2 linked regions of the Rhinolophus ferrumequinum genome follow. The protein of the gene in region 2 purifies or fractionates together with the protein of the main gene of each other region. This does not show direct contact. Links are inferred from orthologs where the notes say so. Each region holds a gene or a part of one and is shown on either strand. Other genes may lie near its edges.

Evidence for each region.
Region 1: the proteins of KPNA1 (region 2) and NCBP1 purify together in Homo sapiens (co-immunoprecipitation; 3 studies listed by BioGRID and IntAct, with this or other methods). This does not show direct contact. The link is inferred for Rhinolophus ferrumequinum from reciprocal best matches to the Homo sapiens genes KPNA1 and NCBP1.

The regions. Positions count from the first base shown.
Region 1 is NC_046295.1:54,149,014-54,156,502, reverse strand, and holds the start of NCBP1 (nuclear cap-binding protein subunit 1), read right to left. Parts: upstream 3,077-7,489; 5' UTR 2,833-3,076; coding exon 2,799-2,832; intron 2,428-2,798; exon of another isoform or gene 2,350-2,427; intron 1-2,349. Other genes in the region: TSTD2 (thiosulfate sulfurtransferase/rhodanese-like domain-containing protein 2), read left to right, coding at 6,226-6,390, 6,931-7,244. UniProt on the Homo sapiens protein: Component of the cap-binding complex (CBC), which binds cotranscriptionally to the 5'-cap of pre-mRNAs and is involved in various processes such as pre-mRNA splicing, translation regulation, nonsense-mediated mRNA decay, RNA-mediated gene silencing (RNAi) by microRNAs (miRNAs) and mRNA export.
Region 2 is NC_046285.1:47,276,026-47,283,287, forward strand, and holds the start of KPNA1 (importin subunit alpha-5), read right to left. Parts: upstream 3,050-7,262; 5' UTR 2,853-3,049; intron 1-2,852. UniProt on the Homo sapiens protein: Functions in nuclear protein import as an adapter protein for nuclear receptor KPNB1. Binds specifically and directly to substrates containing either a simple or bipartite NLS motif.

The DNA of each region.
Region 1 (7,489 bases), on a different chromosome or scaffold from region 2:
ATAATAACTGAAAAGCTGCGGAAACATTCTTAAAAGAGGTTCTAAGAAATAAGTTAGATTTAGCACTGAACCAGCATTCATGCACATTAATTTCCACTTAGCACTTCCCTTTCCTTGTCTATAAATTGACCTCTCGGGGAACTCCATTGGTATAGTATCCTAACTGTCTCCCTGGATCCCAAATACTCGTCTCAACACAGATACAATTTTAAAATTACCCTCTACGAGCTGATCCTCTGCTACCTCTCCGCCTCACTCATTCTGCTAGCCCTAAGGTCTTTGATTCCCTATGCTGAGACCCCTGCTTTCCCCCATGTAGCCGGCGGGTTTGCTCCCTTACCCACTGCAGACGCATTTCTCAGGGAGGTCTTCCCTGAACAACCTATACAAAACAGTAATTCCCTGCCCCCCCCCCACAGCAGTCTCTACCCTCTTTACCCAGTTTTCTTTCTCTCTGTAACACTTATCACCATATACTATACTATATTTTACTTGACTGTTTCCTGTCTGTAAAAGGGAGGCTCCATCTTTATACTGTCCATTGCTGTACTGCCAGTAGTTAGGACAGTGCCTGGCTCTGATGAATATTTGTTGAATAAATGATTATATCTAGTCAAGCACATGGAAAGTTATGGCAGTCACTGACTGACTAAGAGCTGACAATATCCAGCAATGCTCTGATATATCTATTAAACTATGATTATAATAATTCAGCCTATTTTAAAATAGCCTTCAATAATATTTAAGCTTCTAATATTTCTAATTAAAAATTAACAGATGCCCAACTAAAAGGAAAGTATCTAAAATATTTGATTCAGATCACTGTTTAGGGTAAACCCTAGCTAATTATTACCCAAATTGTGGCAATTTACAAAAGTTCCAGATTCAGTGTAGTATCCAAGAGGAACTATAAATTGCCCTTCCATTACTAAATTATTCATTCACCACAGTAAACTTTGATTAATTAACTCCTTATTTGCTTTTTTGGTTTTTACTTATTCTGAGGTACCTGCAGCAAGACCCAAATAGACAATGATTTAGCTGCCAGCTGGTACTAAAAGAAGGTAACTCCCAAGAAAGTTACAGCAGCATCCCAATAACCGAAGCAAAAGTTGCGTTTCTACAGATTCAAATCCAGTTCTCCAGGTAGCCCTCTGGAAACATTTTCTCTCCCTGTAGGGATACTCTAAAAGAGAGAAGTAGAAGTGGAGAAAAGAAAGTGTGAGAAAAGAAAATGGAAGAACTTTAACAAAAGGCTCAAGTTCTTTAAACACCAAATGATGACTTCAAGCGTATTAGCTTCTGATTAATCAAACTCAAAGCATATGAAAACTGTATTTTGTGTGCCCCAAATGTACACAAGAAACCTCCTGTGTTTCTTTTTTTTAAAAAAAGGCATGAAGCATAATGCCTGGGTAGTGAAGAGGACCCTGGAACTTGCACTCACTGGTGTCTGGGCACTGCTAGCTGTGACTCCATGTCAGTTACACTAAAATTCTAGACCTTTAGGTGTCAGATGAGAAAGCTGGACTAGAATATCCTTTCAAGACATGCCCCAACAGAAATCTGATGTTTCGTTGTTAAAACTAAATACACTTGTTTTAGTTTTACCTACCCTAACTGCCCCGACATTCAAGGAGAGAAAAATATTAGTGCAGAAAATTCAATTAAAATTTTTTGTTCTGTATTTTTCTTACATCATTGACATCTGCCAATGCTTACCTCTTAAGTATTAACAGATGATTAAATAAACATCATCACGAGCCATTCATTACAAGCGTAACTTCACTTAACCATCACAAAACCGTGGGGAGGTATGTATCACCTTCTATATGACTTCTACATTACAGACTAAAGTTTAAAGAGGTGATAGAACCTGAGCAAGGTCACAAAGTAAATGCTAGGGTCTGGCTTTGAACTTAAACCCCCTAATTCCACAGTCTGGCCTCTTAAACACTACACTCTTTTCAAACAATACACTAAAATACTAATAATAGAATGACTCTTAGTTCCTTTTATTGTGGATGTGTGTTCTTGACTGATTTTTGCAGTGGAAGCACCTTTTCCTACTTTTAACTAGCAAAATTATTCTTGGTTTATGACAACACCCTGACCCCCACGAGCACAACCATCCAAATGGACATGGCAACTCCTGAGCTAAATCTCTGCGAGCTCTCCAGTTAGTTTCCCAGCACTCTCTTACACGACGGAAATACAATTACGGCCAGTGCAAATCTAACATAACACGCATGTGTTTGTCAGTGACCTCTTGGGTGTGGGTAAGAGACACACAAGCTTTCCCTGAAGCTTGAAAGAAGGCAAATCAACAATGACCGGTAGGGGAGCAGAGCTCACAAAGCGATTCATCAGCTCTCTCAGTCACGGCTTTGTTCCTTTCCTTCAATCGTGTGGGAGAGCCCTTTCCAGGTGAGTTGGAGGGTCAAAAGGAGAAACTGAGGCTAGAGGGTCCCTGCCACTGTCCCCAAGAGGCGCCGCACAGACCCACAGAAGTACGTACTTCTCTGCTCGGCGGTGCCAAGGACCAAATCCTGACAGGTCGTTAGAGGCCTGGGGCCCCCTCAGGCCTCCTACCGGACAACGACTAAAGGAGCGGGAGCGAGGGGTAAGAGCTTTCTAGAAGTCGCCCAGCCACACTCCCGCGGTGCCACCCCCCTTCCCTCCGCGACTCCCGAACGCTCCCGGGTGGGAAGGGCTTCCCTCGAGACTCGAAGACGAAGGAAGCCAAACGTCGGCACCCACCTGGGCGCGGCCTCGTCGGCCGGGCCCAGGACACTCACCGTCGTTCTCGTCTCTGTGCCGCCGCCGCGACATGCTGCACGCCGGTGCGCGGACGAGCCGAGTGGGGCGGGAAGCGCCGCAGGAACCGCGGGGACGCCGGCCCGAGGACAGCGGCGAGGCGCGCGGAGTGGCCGGCGCGCAGGCGCACTTGCTCGCGACGGCTCCCGGAAGCGTAAGCGGAGGCGGCCGGGTGGGCTCGGCAGGTTGGGCAGAGCTAGAAGCTCCTCAGGCCGCGGGCGTCCCGGCCGCTCGCCACCGCCCCCTCGGGCTTCCTCCGCCTCTTCTCTCTCCCACCTTTCAATGTAAGTCCTTCCGGGGACACGCAGATCGCGCCGCCTCCTCGGCCCACCGAAGCCCGGGGCTGCGAGCCACGCCTGGAGGCAGCGGTCTAGGACGGACGCTCTAGTCCCCGCCTCCACTCCAGACCCGCCCGCAGGGGCTCGGAATGATTTTCCCGGCGGCCCTTTCGCTCACATCCTCGAAGACTTCCGGAGCGAAGTGACGTCCCGAGCGTTTTTTTGCTACGTAAACTCAAGGTGGGGGTGGAGGCTCGAGGGTGGTGAGCAGTGTTACTGATTAGGCGGAGAAGGTTCAATGAAGAAAGGTGTAAGAAAGGATCGGGACTGGCGGGTACGTGCGCATCTTACTCCCACTTCGGGGCTTTTGCCTCCTCGGGAACGCTGGGCGGAGAAGTTGGGCCAGACCGGTGCTCAATTTCGATATACGGCAGCGTCCAGCCGCTTGCTTAATTAAAAAATGTAGGTAGAAGTCATTCGTGGCTCCTCCTTTTCCTTCACCTCCTACATAACAATCTATCCCTAAACCCTGCTGGCTCTACTTTCAGAACGAATCCAGAATCAGACGACGTTACTCCTTTTTGTTCCCAGTTCTCCCATGACTTGCCGTTGCAGATTTCATACCCTGACTTCCAGGGTTCTCGTCTCTCATCACTGTACTCCAACCACTCGGACTTTCTTCCGGTGCCTCCAATGAGTTAAGCTTGTTCCCACTTTAGGAATTGATACTATTTCTTTTGCCTGGAGATCTCTGCTTCTAAATCTGCATAGATGGCTTGTCATTTAGGTCCCAGCTCAAACATCAGGTCCTTCATGAAGCCTTCCCTGGTTACCCAATGTTTTAGTTCATTCAACAAATATATTGACATTTAGCACCTCCTATGTGCCAGGCAGTGTTCTAGATGCTGAGGATGCAGAGGTGAACAAAGGAAAATCCCTGCTTTCTTGGTGCCGATGACCCATCTAAGAACGGGCAAAGAAAACAGTGCAATCGGAGGTGGTGGGCAAAGGGAGAGTAGTAGAAGTTGAGATTAGAGCGGTGGTCGGAGGGGCTTTGTAAGTACTTTGGACCTTATCTGAGTAAGTTGAGAAGCCTTTGGAGACTAATCTTATTTTTTAAGGTAACTGTCTCCTACAGGAGGAGGGCAGTTAGTCTGTGGCAATAATTCAGTCAGGCAAGGATGGTGGCTTGAACGGAGTTTGTAGTAAAGGTGGTGTGAAGTGATCTGATTTGGTTGTATTTCAAAAAGCAAAGTTACTAAGATTTTCGGACGGACTGGAAGATGGTGTTGAAAGAATAAGGAGTCAAGAAGAAGCCCAAAGATTTTTGAGTAACAGGAAGGATAGAATTGTCATTTATGGAGGTAAGGAAGACTGGGGAAGAGCAAGAGTTTGGTTTTGAACGGTTACCTCTGAACAGCCTGTTAACCCTCCGGCTGAAGCTATCCAGTAGACAGTTGGATGTGTGAATTTGGAGATCAGGAGAGAGGGCTCCACCTGGAGATATAAATCTGGAGTCAGTATATAGTATTCTAACTTAAATTTTCCTTTATTTATGATTGCTTCCCTTTTTTTTAATGGAAGTTTCAAATATTTACAGAAGTTGAGAAAATTATACAATGAACCTCCATGTACTTTATCAACCAGCTTCAACAATTACCAACTAAGAGCCAGTCTAGTTTCACATATATTATCCCCCTCCCCTTACACAGTTATTCTGAGGCAAATAAAGTTTTTAAGTCCTTGGGAGTAGATGAGATCACTTGCAGGGTGACTATAGATAAAGTCATTCAACATTTAAAGTTGGGGACAATATGGAGGATCCGCCCCACCAAAGGCAATTGAGAAGCAGCAGCTCTTATCACTGATATTTTCATGTTTTTTAATTTGTTTACTTATTTAGTGTCCCTTACTGGAATGTAAGTTACAAGAGAGCAGGGACCTGAACTGTTTCATTAAGGCCTGCAGCCGCAGTACTGTTTTCTATGTGCCGGGCACATACCAAAATCCCCACATAGAATAGTTAGGAATATATAAGTTTAAAGCAAGAACTGAAAAGGATTGTGAGTGAGGGGAGGTCAATTTGGGGTGGTGGGACAGGTGTATGTGGAGACACTGAGGCAGGAGAGGGAATGGCGTGTTTGTGCCCTGTGGCCAGAGTAGGATACTTGAGGGAGAGTGTTGTCTGAGATAAGCCAAGAGTGGTAGGAGAACTAAGGATGTGCCAGACGTTTTACATGTCCTTTCCAGTCCTCACTACAGCCTTGCAACGTAGACATTGTCATCTGCATTTTAGAAATTAAGGACGTAGAACTCAGAAGTTTAATATCTTGCCCAGGTTCACATATTTGCACCCAGCTGCACCGCGATCCAGAGCCCATGCTTTTCTGGTGTTTTATGTTGCCTCTTTGTCACTTGTTAACATTTGTTTTATAAAAGCAAGAATGCAGTGTGTTGATTGTATAGTGTGTCCCTTTGGACAAGTCCTGGCCACAGTAACAATTTGTATATTTCTTCTGGCTCATTAAAATGGGGGCTGTTTCAGTAGTTATTTCTTCTACGAAAGGGAATTTGCCCAGCTCAAAATCTACGGGACAAAAAAGAACGGTGTTTATAACTGAAGTTGCTAGCACACAGCTTCGCTGATTTCCATTGTACCTGTGCTTTTTTGATATCATTTACCCTAAATGTTTGCATGGTTTGCCTCCTAATTCAGGTTTCTGCTTAAATGCTACTGCCTCAGACTACTCTCTGTGTTTTAAAGATCCCCTCTATCACTCTGGTTCCTTACCCTGCTTATTTGTCTCCGTAGCCCTTTTTACCATCTGACTTATTTTTTAATCAATGTATTCATTTGTTTACCTCCTGTCTCTCCCCACTGGAATGCAGAGACTTTTTCTGTTTCATTCATTGCTATATCCCCAGTGTCAAGAACAATGCCTGCTAAATAAATATTTGTTGAATGAATGAGCGAATGGGCTACAGGGCCCATGCTCATTTGCATCATTGATTAGCTTTGAGTTTACTTCAAGTAGTAATCAAAAACTTGGACATTGTTGTTTCTCCCTTGCTCACTTCCTAGGAGATAGTTAACTGAAAGGAATCTGCTCCATTCTTGCAACCAAGCCAGATGCCTTCTTCCGCTTCACCAGACCAGGGAGAGGACCTGGAGACCTGTGTTTTACGATTTTCAGACCTGGATTTAAAAGACACAAGTGTTATCAATCCCAGTAGTAGTCTCAAAGCAGAGCTCGATGTCAATACAAAGAAGAAATACTCATTCGCAAAGAAAAAGGTAAAATTGCTGTTGGTGTTGTGGGATTGTGCATGTGTAGTTAACGCAGATAGATCTAGAAGTAGCTTATCAAGGTTGTCCTCCAGGGAGTGGAAGGTTAGTGAGACACTAGGCTGTTGCCGTGTTCAAGGTAAGGTTTAGTCAGAGCCATTACTAGTGATCTTAATTCAATGCCAGGCAAAGGAGAATCGTAGGCAGGTGTGGCTCAGGAACACTTCTGGTGGAGCACTTGAGGACCGGTCCTAGACAGAGGGGCTGGGTTCCTTTCCCCACCTAGGGTGACAGGAGGAATCGCAGGAACCCAGGAGACCTAGTCATAAGGAAAACAGACACTAGGGCAGCTGCTACCTAAGACTCCTGATCTGGTCCAACTAGTATAAAGGTTATTATGAAAACTGTTACTCTCACAGGAAGTTCTACAGAATAGTAGAACATAAAACTGGAAACCCCTGTGGAAAGATAATAGAAGGGATTTCACTGAGACTTCCATTAGCCTTAAACCTAAGGTTATTTAACAGTGACATTGGCGTGTAATTGCAGGCATTTGCCCTTTTTGTCAAAACCAAAGAAGTTCTGGCACCTTCCTTTGAATGTAAAGAAAAATGGTGGAAATGCTGTCAGCAACTCTTCACAGACCAAACTAGCATCCATAGACATGTGGCAACACAACATGCTGATGAAATTTGCCACCAGACTGCTTCTATTTTAAAGCAGCTGACTATGACGATGAGCTCCTCCAAGAGTCTTAAATCTGCAGACAAAAGGACCCCTCTAATAGAGTACCTCACTCGAAACCATGACATGTCCGCTTGGCTCCCTGATACGAGCTGCTTTAGCCCAGATGAGCTGATAAGGTAAGAATTTCATTCTGTACTTTTGGTTTAATTTTAAACATGTTTTTCCAGCCACAATGAGGCTATCACTACCCATCCACTGAAATGGCAAGATCCTAAAGGCACAGAATTTCTCTACCGGCCTAAGCTAGGCCGATAAACATGTACTATGGGTAATAGAAGGTCATAGTCTACGCAGTACCACGTACCCACGCAGCAGGCAGTGTTGCTAGGTTTCTCAGAAACCATCCTACATCTTCTAGGGA
Region 2 (7,262 bases):
GATTATCCCCATTATCCACATTCTGGATTACTGCCTGCTTTCAAGAACTGTCCCAATTAGTCTACTACACTAGGTCAGAACCATTTTATCACTTAGGTCAGTTTTGTAGAGTTGGAACATCTTTAAATAAAACAAAACGAAATAAAACTGTACTGTTCCATCAGTCTTCATCCCTGCTCTTTCACTGCAGGGCCTCAAACTTTTCTAATGCAGGCTCTATTTGGCCCCTCAGTGGCCTAGGGCCACCTTCTGCTTACTGCAGCAAGAATACAAATCAGCCACAACAGCTAATTGAATTGTTCACCATTTACAATGTTTTCTTCCATAATTATGGCTGAATTCATAATACCCTGCAAAGTACAGAAATCTTAAAACAAAGATAGTAACGGAATTATCTTTATCACTAGATCAGTCATCTTTACATACATGGACCAAAGTCTTAACTGATTTTATACAAAAGTCTTAATTGATTTTATACAAAGTATTCATATATACTTCTAAAAACAATCTGACAGAGATAAAATACAAACATCATAAATCATCAAGACTTCATCATTAATTCAACAAACACTATGCCTAAAACATTGTAAATTAAAATAAGATATAATCCCTACTTTCAAATAAAAGGGAAAATATAAAAACAAAATTGATAGCAACAGGGAACAAAGAAAATAATCCAGGAAACAACACAGAGCAATTCCAGACTATCTGGTATAATTGTAACATAGTTAAGGCTAAGGAAAATTATAAAAATTGGACACATCTCTGACTCTCCTCACAGCCAAAGTGTAAAGAGAAACACCAACACCTACAAAACACAAACAATGTAATAAAAGCAGCCGTTTGTTTTTTGTTTGGTTTTTTTTTTAAAAGGCTCATCACTGGGGTCTTAAAAAAACTGTCTCAAAGTCTCTACTCTGTAAGAATAAATAAAAAAAATTAGAAACAGTGTCTTGGATGGCAATGAAGAGTTTCATGTTGCCTTTTCTTATGTATCAATCCTAGATAGAAGTCAAGATACATAATATTAAATCATAGCTTTGTGAAGAAACTTCCATGAGGACATAAAATAACATAATGCAAATATACTGACTTCAGATGAGGCATTTAGTTCTATCATGTAGTTTATTCTAGGTTTTTATAAATGTATGTTTTGGTTCCCTACTACTGTAAACTCAAGGCTTATGTTACCTGATTCTATTTGAACTTCCTTTGCTATTTAGGAGAGTTGTTTACAGTTTCTGCTCAACTATAATGACAAATGAAGTGTTATGCAGTGTTTACATTCGTTATTTGTTAGTCTTCCCCTCTACACTATAAATTATATGAGGACAGGAAGAGTGTCTTAACCATGTCTTGTATCCCCAGTGTTGGGGCACATGATCACTCCATAAGTATTAGCTGAATGAATGGGTTAAATAAAGAAAACACAACCAAGAGGTACGAAAGGAGATAAATAATTTTTTAAAAGTGGCAGTAACTTTGGGTTCTAAGGCTGGTTCCAACAAGAGCTGGATGACCTTAGGTAAGTTCTATTTCTGCAATCGTCCAAGTTTTCATCTGTAGAACAGGAAAAATTAATATCTACTTCAGAGTTACTGTAAGCATTAAATGTTTTAATATAAAGTATTTAGCACAAAACTTGGAAAGGAACTCAATGAATGTTAATTCCTTTACTTTTGCTCATGTCCCCCAACTTAAAATCAGGTATTACACATAAAAGCGCCCCTTCCAATAATAAATTATTACAGTAAAAATACAAGAGAGTTCATTTTCACTTTTCTTTGAAAAGTTCAAATTTCATCTCTTCAATCTTTAAAATGGAGGGGGAATAACCTGTGGATTACTTTCAAAATATCACAAATACAAGAACAAGTTGAGGAAAAAACAATGTCAAGAATGACTCTTAAAGCAACAAGAGGGAGCAAAAACATCCTTCATCGGCTAGAAACAAGTTTTGAAGAAACTGTTTTATTAAAGAAAAAAGTAATATTATTTAATATGTTTCAGAAGAATCCTGCAAAATTGTTTACTTTTAATTTAAACCTTAAAAATCAATTCTTGTGAAATCTTTCACTTACAAGTGGGATGTTAAATGCTTTCATTCAAACCTTAAACATTCCTTCATGACGACTGCCCTGACTCCAGCCATCCTCCAGTTTCCTTGTCTCTAATACTTCGCTGTTTCCCTCGAATCACCACTTACACACGCAATGTGCAGACTGAGTTCTGTCATTCCTATAATTACCACACCCCTGTCAGCCGCTTCAGGCCCATGTTGTTATGACATCTGTAAACTGCAGTCGTTACGTCTCCACCCCCGCCTCCACCTCCCTCCAAACCACCGGCTCCGGCTCCGGCTGTAACTTGTGAATTCCCAGACCGTCCCATCCAGCCTGGCTTAGGATTTTCGCACGTCCCCCATCCCTGCTCTTTCCTGCCTCAGTCACAGCACTCTGCGCTGCGCACCCCGTCCCCCACCCGCTCGCTCGGGGCCACAGCGCAGGCTCCGCGCTCGCCTCCTCTCCGCCCCGCTGCCTCGGCGCCCCGCAGTCACCGCCGCCGCTTCCAGCACCGCCGCCGCCCCGCCTCGACCGGCGTTCCCGATGGCGATCACATCAGCGCTCCCCCCCCCCGCCGCCCGCCCCAGTCACTCCGCCGGCCGCGCGGCCGTTAGGACAGCCGGGCCAGTGACGCACCGACGCGCCGCGAGCGCCCGGGCCCAGGAACCCGAGCTCGAACACGGCCGGCGCCCTCCCACGCCCCGGGACCTCTCCCGGGTCCCGCCGAGGACTGCCGGATCCGCCGGCGGGAGGGGGAGGGGCCGGGGCCGCAGGGGTCCCCGCACTCACCAGGCTAACGGCGGGCGATCCCCGTGCCACTGCTGTGGTGAGCCGCTTGCTCGCTCGCCGGCCGCAGTACCCCTCGCGCACACAACCTCGAAGAGCCGGCGAGATCCTTGGCCGTGCTCACCAGGCCTCGCGATCCGCCGCCGCGCAACCAGCAGCAAGACCTAGCTCAGCCGGCGTTCGCAGTGCGTCTGCGCACGGGGGCCGGCCCTCGCGCCTGCGCGCGCCCCTTCGCTGCCCTGATACAGAGGCTGCCGGGAGATGTAGTCTTTCAACCTTCTTTCGGTGGAACCTCTCTCCGTTATCCCAACCAGCTGAAGAGTGGGAGGTCGAGGAGAAGGTCTCGCTGAGGAGGTTCGGAGTCAATTGTAAAGGTTGTAGAGTTGTGGTGGGTGGAGTGACCATTAAACGGTACTTCTTAGGTTGAATTACGAAGTTAAAGCTATAAAACCTGTCGTCGAAGCTCTTCCAGGGCGGATCGATCCCTTGCTCATCTCTATCTGTATCTAGCTTCCGGTAATGCCGTTAGTACCTAATATATTTTTCTTTTCTTTTCTATGGCTGGCAACAATGATAGCCATCTTTTAGGCATTTGTTTAAGTAAACTATCTCCTTCCATTTGTATAAAGTCAAAAATTTCATTAAATTCTTCCGTACATTTTGAGGACGCTGAAATTGACCAAACACTTTCATTATGAAAACCTCCGTATCACAGGTAAGCAAACCACACCCTTCTTTTAACAGTGTTCTGTATAAGGTGTTTGTTTAGCAGATGACACCCTTTCATTTTCTTTGGTAAGAAGTTTAGACTGGATAGAACTTGTCAAAATTAACATTCGCACTGAAAGCAGATAAATGAGTCAATTCTACTTTGTCTTTGGACAAGATGTAACACCCTTTGGTTTATGTGTTGTGGTTTCATTAAAATCTTAATAGACATCTTGAAGACAATTTGAAACTTCACTTTTCAAGTCAAATTACCTTTAGAGCTAGAGGGAACATGTTTTTGAATCAGGAAATGTAACCTCTCTCACTTCCGTAGATCAATCCAAGGCATGATACAATAATGCATATTGGTTCATGTGACATGCCCAAGATAATTCAGCCATTATTTTCAACTGAGCATGGGTGTCTCTTGAGGAAACTAAAAAACTTTTGAATTTAAAGTACTGTCTGTCTCATTCCAGAGTTGTAAACTGATTTACAGGGGCTTTCACATCCCCTCTCCACCATGCCCAATCCAAAATACTTCTCTACGTATTGTGCAGTGTGTTCTGTTTTTTCCTTCCTAATCTAGTTATATTGTCCTTCCATCTCTCATTAACATTACACAGTCATTTATATTTCTTTTTCAATGATGTTTGGGTCATGCTGTTGTTGGTATTATAATCATTCTCATTCTCATTATCTTACCTCTTATAAGGCATGGTTACCGTATTCATGATGCTAAAAAATTCAGTTTATACGAAGCACAACGATTAATCCACAGGCAAAGCCAAAGATGGACTGCTAATGCTTACGACTGCAGTGCACTTAAATTGCACACTTAGGTCACCTCCCTCAGAACGCTACAACAATTATCATAATTGTGAAATGCAACTCAGGGTTATCAACATCAATGGTCGGGGACAAAAACAATGATGGTGACTATAGATAGAAGTCAATCTATGGTGTGTCCATTCGACATTAAAAGCAGTGTTGCTTTCAGCCCCTATTTTGAGGGGGCAGTCATGGATTTTGTACTTTTCCCCTAATCTCCCACACCCATTACAAGAAGACCAAGATTTTTGGCGTGAGTGCTGGGAAGGCTGCCCAGGATGTGAGAATTTTGGTGCTAAATCCCAGAAGGTCGGGCAAATCAGGATGGCTGGTCACTCTTTCCCACCTGTACTGGCCAGATGGATCCTCTTCATCTAGCCAGTATAGCCATTCCCTTACCTGCTGTGAGTGCTGGCTGATAACTGTCAGCTGCCCCCTTCTCTGAATTGCAGACCCCAAAGGAGCCAGCTTTCTAGAAGGCTCCCACTCCCATCCCCAAGGACAGGTGTAGTCCAGTAATTGACAGAGTTCAAAGGGACAACCCTTGCTACAGAATGGGACTTACTCTAATGGTACAATTTGTGCTCTAGAACTTCCCCCTGGAATCAGACTGAAGCTTTCCCCTAACCCCATATTCCCTGAGAGTGCTTCCTCAATAAGTCACTTATTGAGAAGAGTGGCTCAAGAGTGAACAAGAATCCCCATCTCAGGCTCTGCTTCTAGGGAACCCAAACTAGGACATGATCCAAATTTGTTTTCCATTTCCTTAACCTGTTGTCCAAAACCACTTATTGAGGTTGGTCCATTGTTTTCCCAGTGATCTGCAATTTTACCTCTGTCATTCATATAAATACACATATTCAGGGCTCTATATTGAGAAAAGTATACATATAGATAGTTACATGACACTCAGAAAAATGAAAAGATCCAGTGAGCAAAACTGCAAGCATAAAATAGCAGTTTTGACCTGAACGTGAAAACTTGAATAAGAAATCAATTGTATTTTTTATCACATAAATTCTGACTTTTAAATGGTACTTAGCTTCTCATTGCAAATATTTGCAGGAAATTTTGAAATGTACCATAAATATATTGACACCATAAAACCTGCAATGTGAAAATGTGCATCATAAATATCACAGAATATTTATGTATATTTATATAATTTATATAGTATATATAATATGTAAACAAGATATATATGTATCTTGAATATACATAGTTATCAACTTTATTTTATATATATTCAATATATAGAGTTACGTATCTATTTTGAGATATATACATTCAAGATACCTATATTCTCAAATTTCCACATTAGCGCAGGTCTGTTTTGGAGGTTTCTATTTTACTCAGCTTTTTTTGGTCTATCCCTGCACCAATAACACATCTGAATTACTGTAGTTGTATAAGTCATGATATGTTATAGATCAAATCACCTTCACTTTGTTATTATTCTCTAAAATTGCCTTTGCTTTTCTTTGGCCTTTTTATTAAATATAAATTTTATAATAACTCCATCAATTTCTATGAAGAAAATCTGGCATGATTTTGATTGAAATTTCATTGAATTGATATGATTAATTTTTGAAGAATAGCCATCTCTATTATATTGTCTTCCTCTGGATGAGGAGATAGTATACCTCTCCATTTATTTAGGTCTTCTTTAATGCCTTTCAGTGATGTTTTGTAATTTTTTTCATGAAGTTTTTATACGTCTTTTGTTAAATTTATGTCTAGTTACCTTATTTTTTTTTTTGCTGTTGCTATTGTAATGGTAAAAAATGTCACATTTACTGTTTCTCATGCATAGGAATGAAATTGATTTATGTGTAACTTCCATGTAGAACCTTGGAGAATGCTTTTATTAATTCTAATAACTTGTCTTCAGATTTTCTTGGATTTTTCTATAGACAGTCATATATCCTGTGATTAATGACATTTTCATTTCTCTATTTTCAGTCTTTTTTTTTTGGTTTGTTCTTCTTTTACTGTCTTTGACAGAAGCTCTAATTCATTTGCTAAATTTAAGTGGAATAGGAAGCATCCTTTGTCTCATCCTGATTTTGTAGGGAATCGTTCTAATGTTTTAACATAAAATATGATGTTTGCTCTAAGTTTTTGGTACAGAATCTTTTATAAATTGTTTATCAAATAACTTTTCTCTATATATATGGAAATGAGCATACCATTTAATATGTAGTTGAACAACAACTGCTTGAATTGCGCAGTCCACTTATGTGCAGACTTTCTTTTTTCAATAAATACCTGTTCTGTTTTCCATACGCAGCTGGGAGTCCGCGGATGCAGAGGGTGAACTGTGTACATTGATCTATGACATTTTATATAGGGGACTTCAGCATCCCAGGATTTTGGTATCCGTGGGGGTCCTGGAACCTACCTCCACCATGGTTACCGAGGGACAACTTAAGTCTTTGGGGAGTTAGAAATTATATGCTGATTTTTGACTGTGCGGAGGTTGCCACCCCTCCTAAATCTCATGTTGTTCAAGAGTTGGCTGTAACTACATGGTGATTTACATTAATAGATTTTTCTAAAGTTAAGTTATCCTTGAATTTCTGAGATAAACCCAAATTGACCATGATTTATTTATATAGAGATAAATTATATTTAATATTTTGATTAGGATTTGTGCATCTATGTGTATTTACATAAATGAATGTCTATTGTTTTTCCTGTTGTATTTTATGTCTGTATTTTATACTGTTGTCTATCTTTGGTATCAAGGTTGAACTAGCCCTGAAAATTTTGGGGGGAGTATTCCTTCTATGTCTGTTCTCTAGAAGATTTAATATAAGATTGGAATTATCTGTTCTTTGAAGATTTGGTAGAACTCACTAGAGAAATAATTTT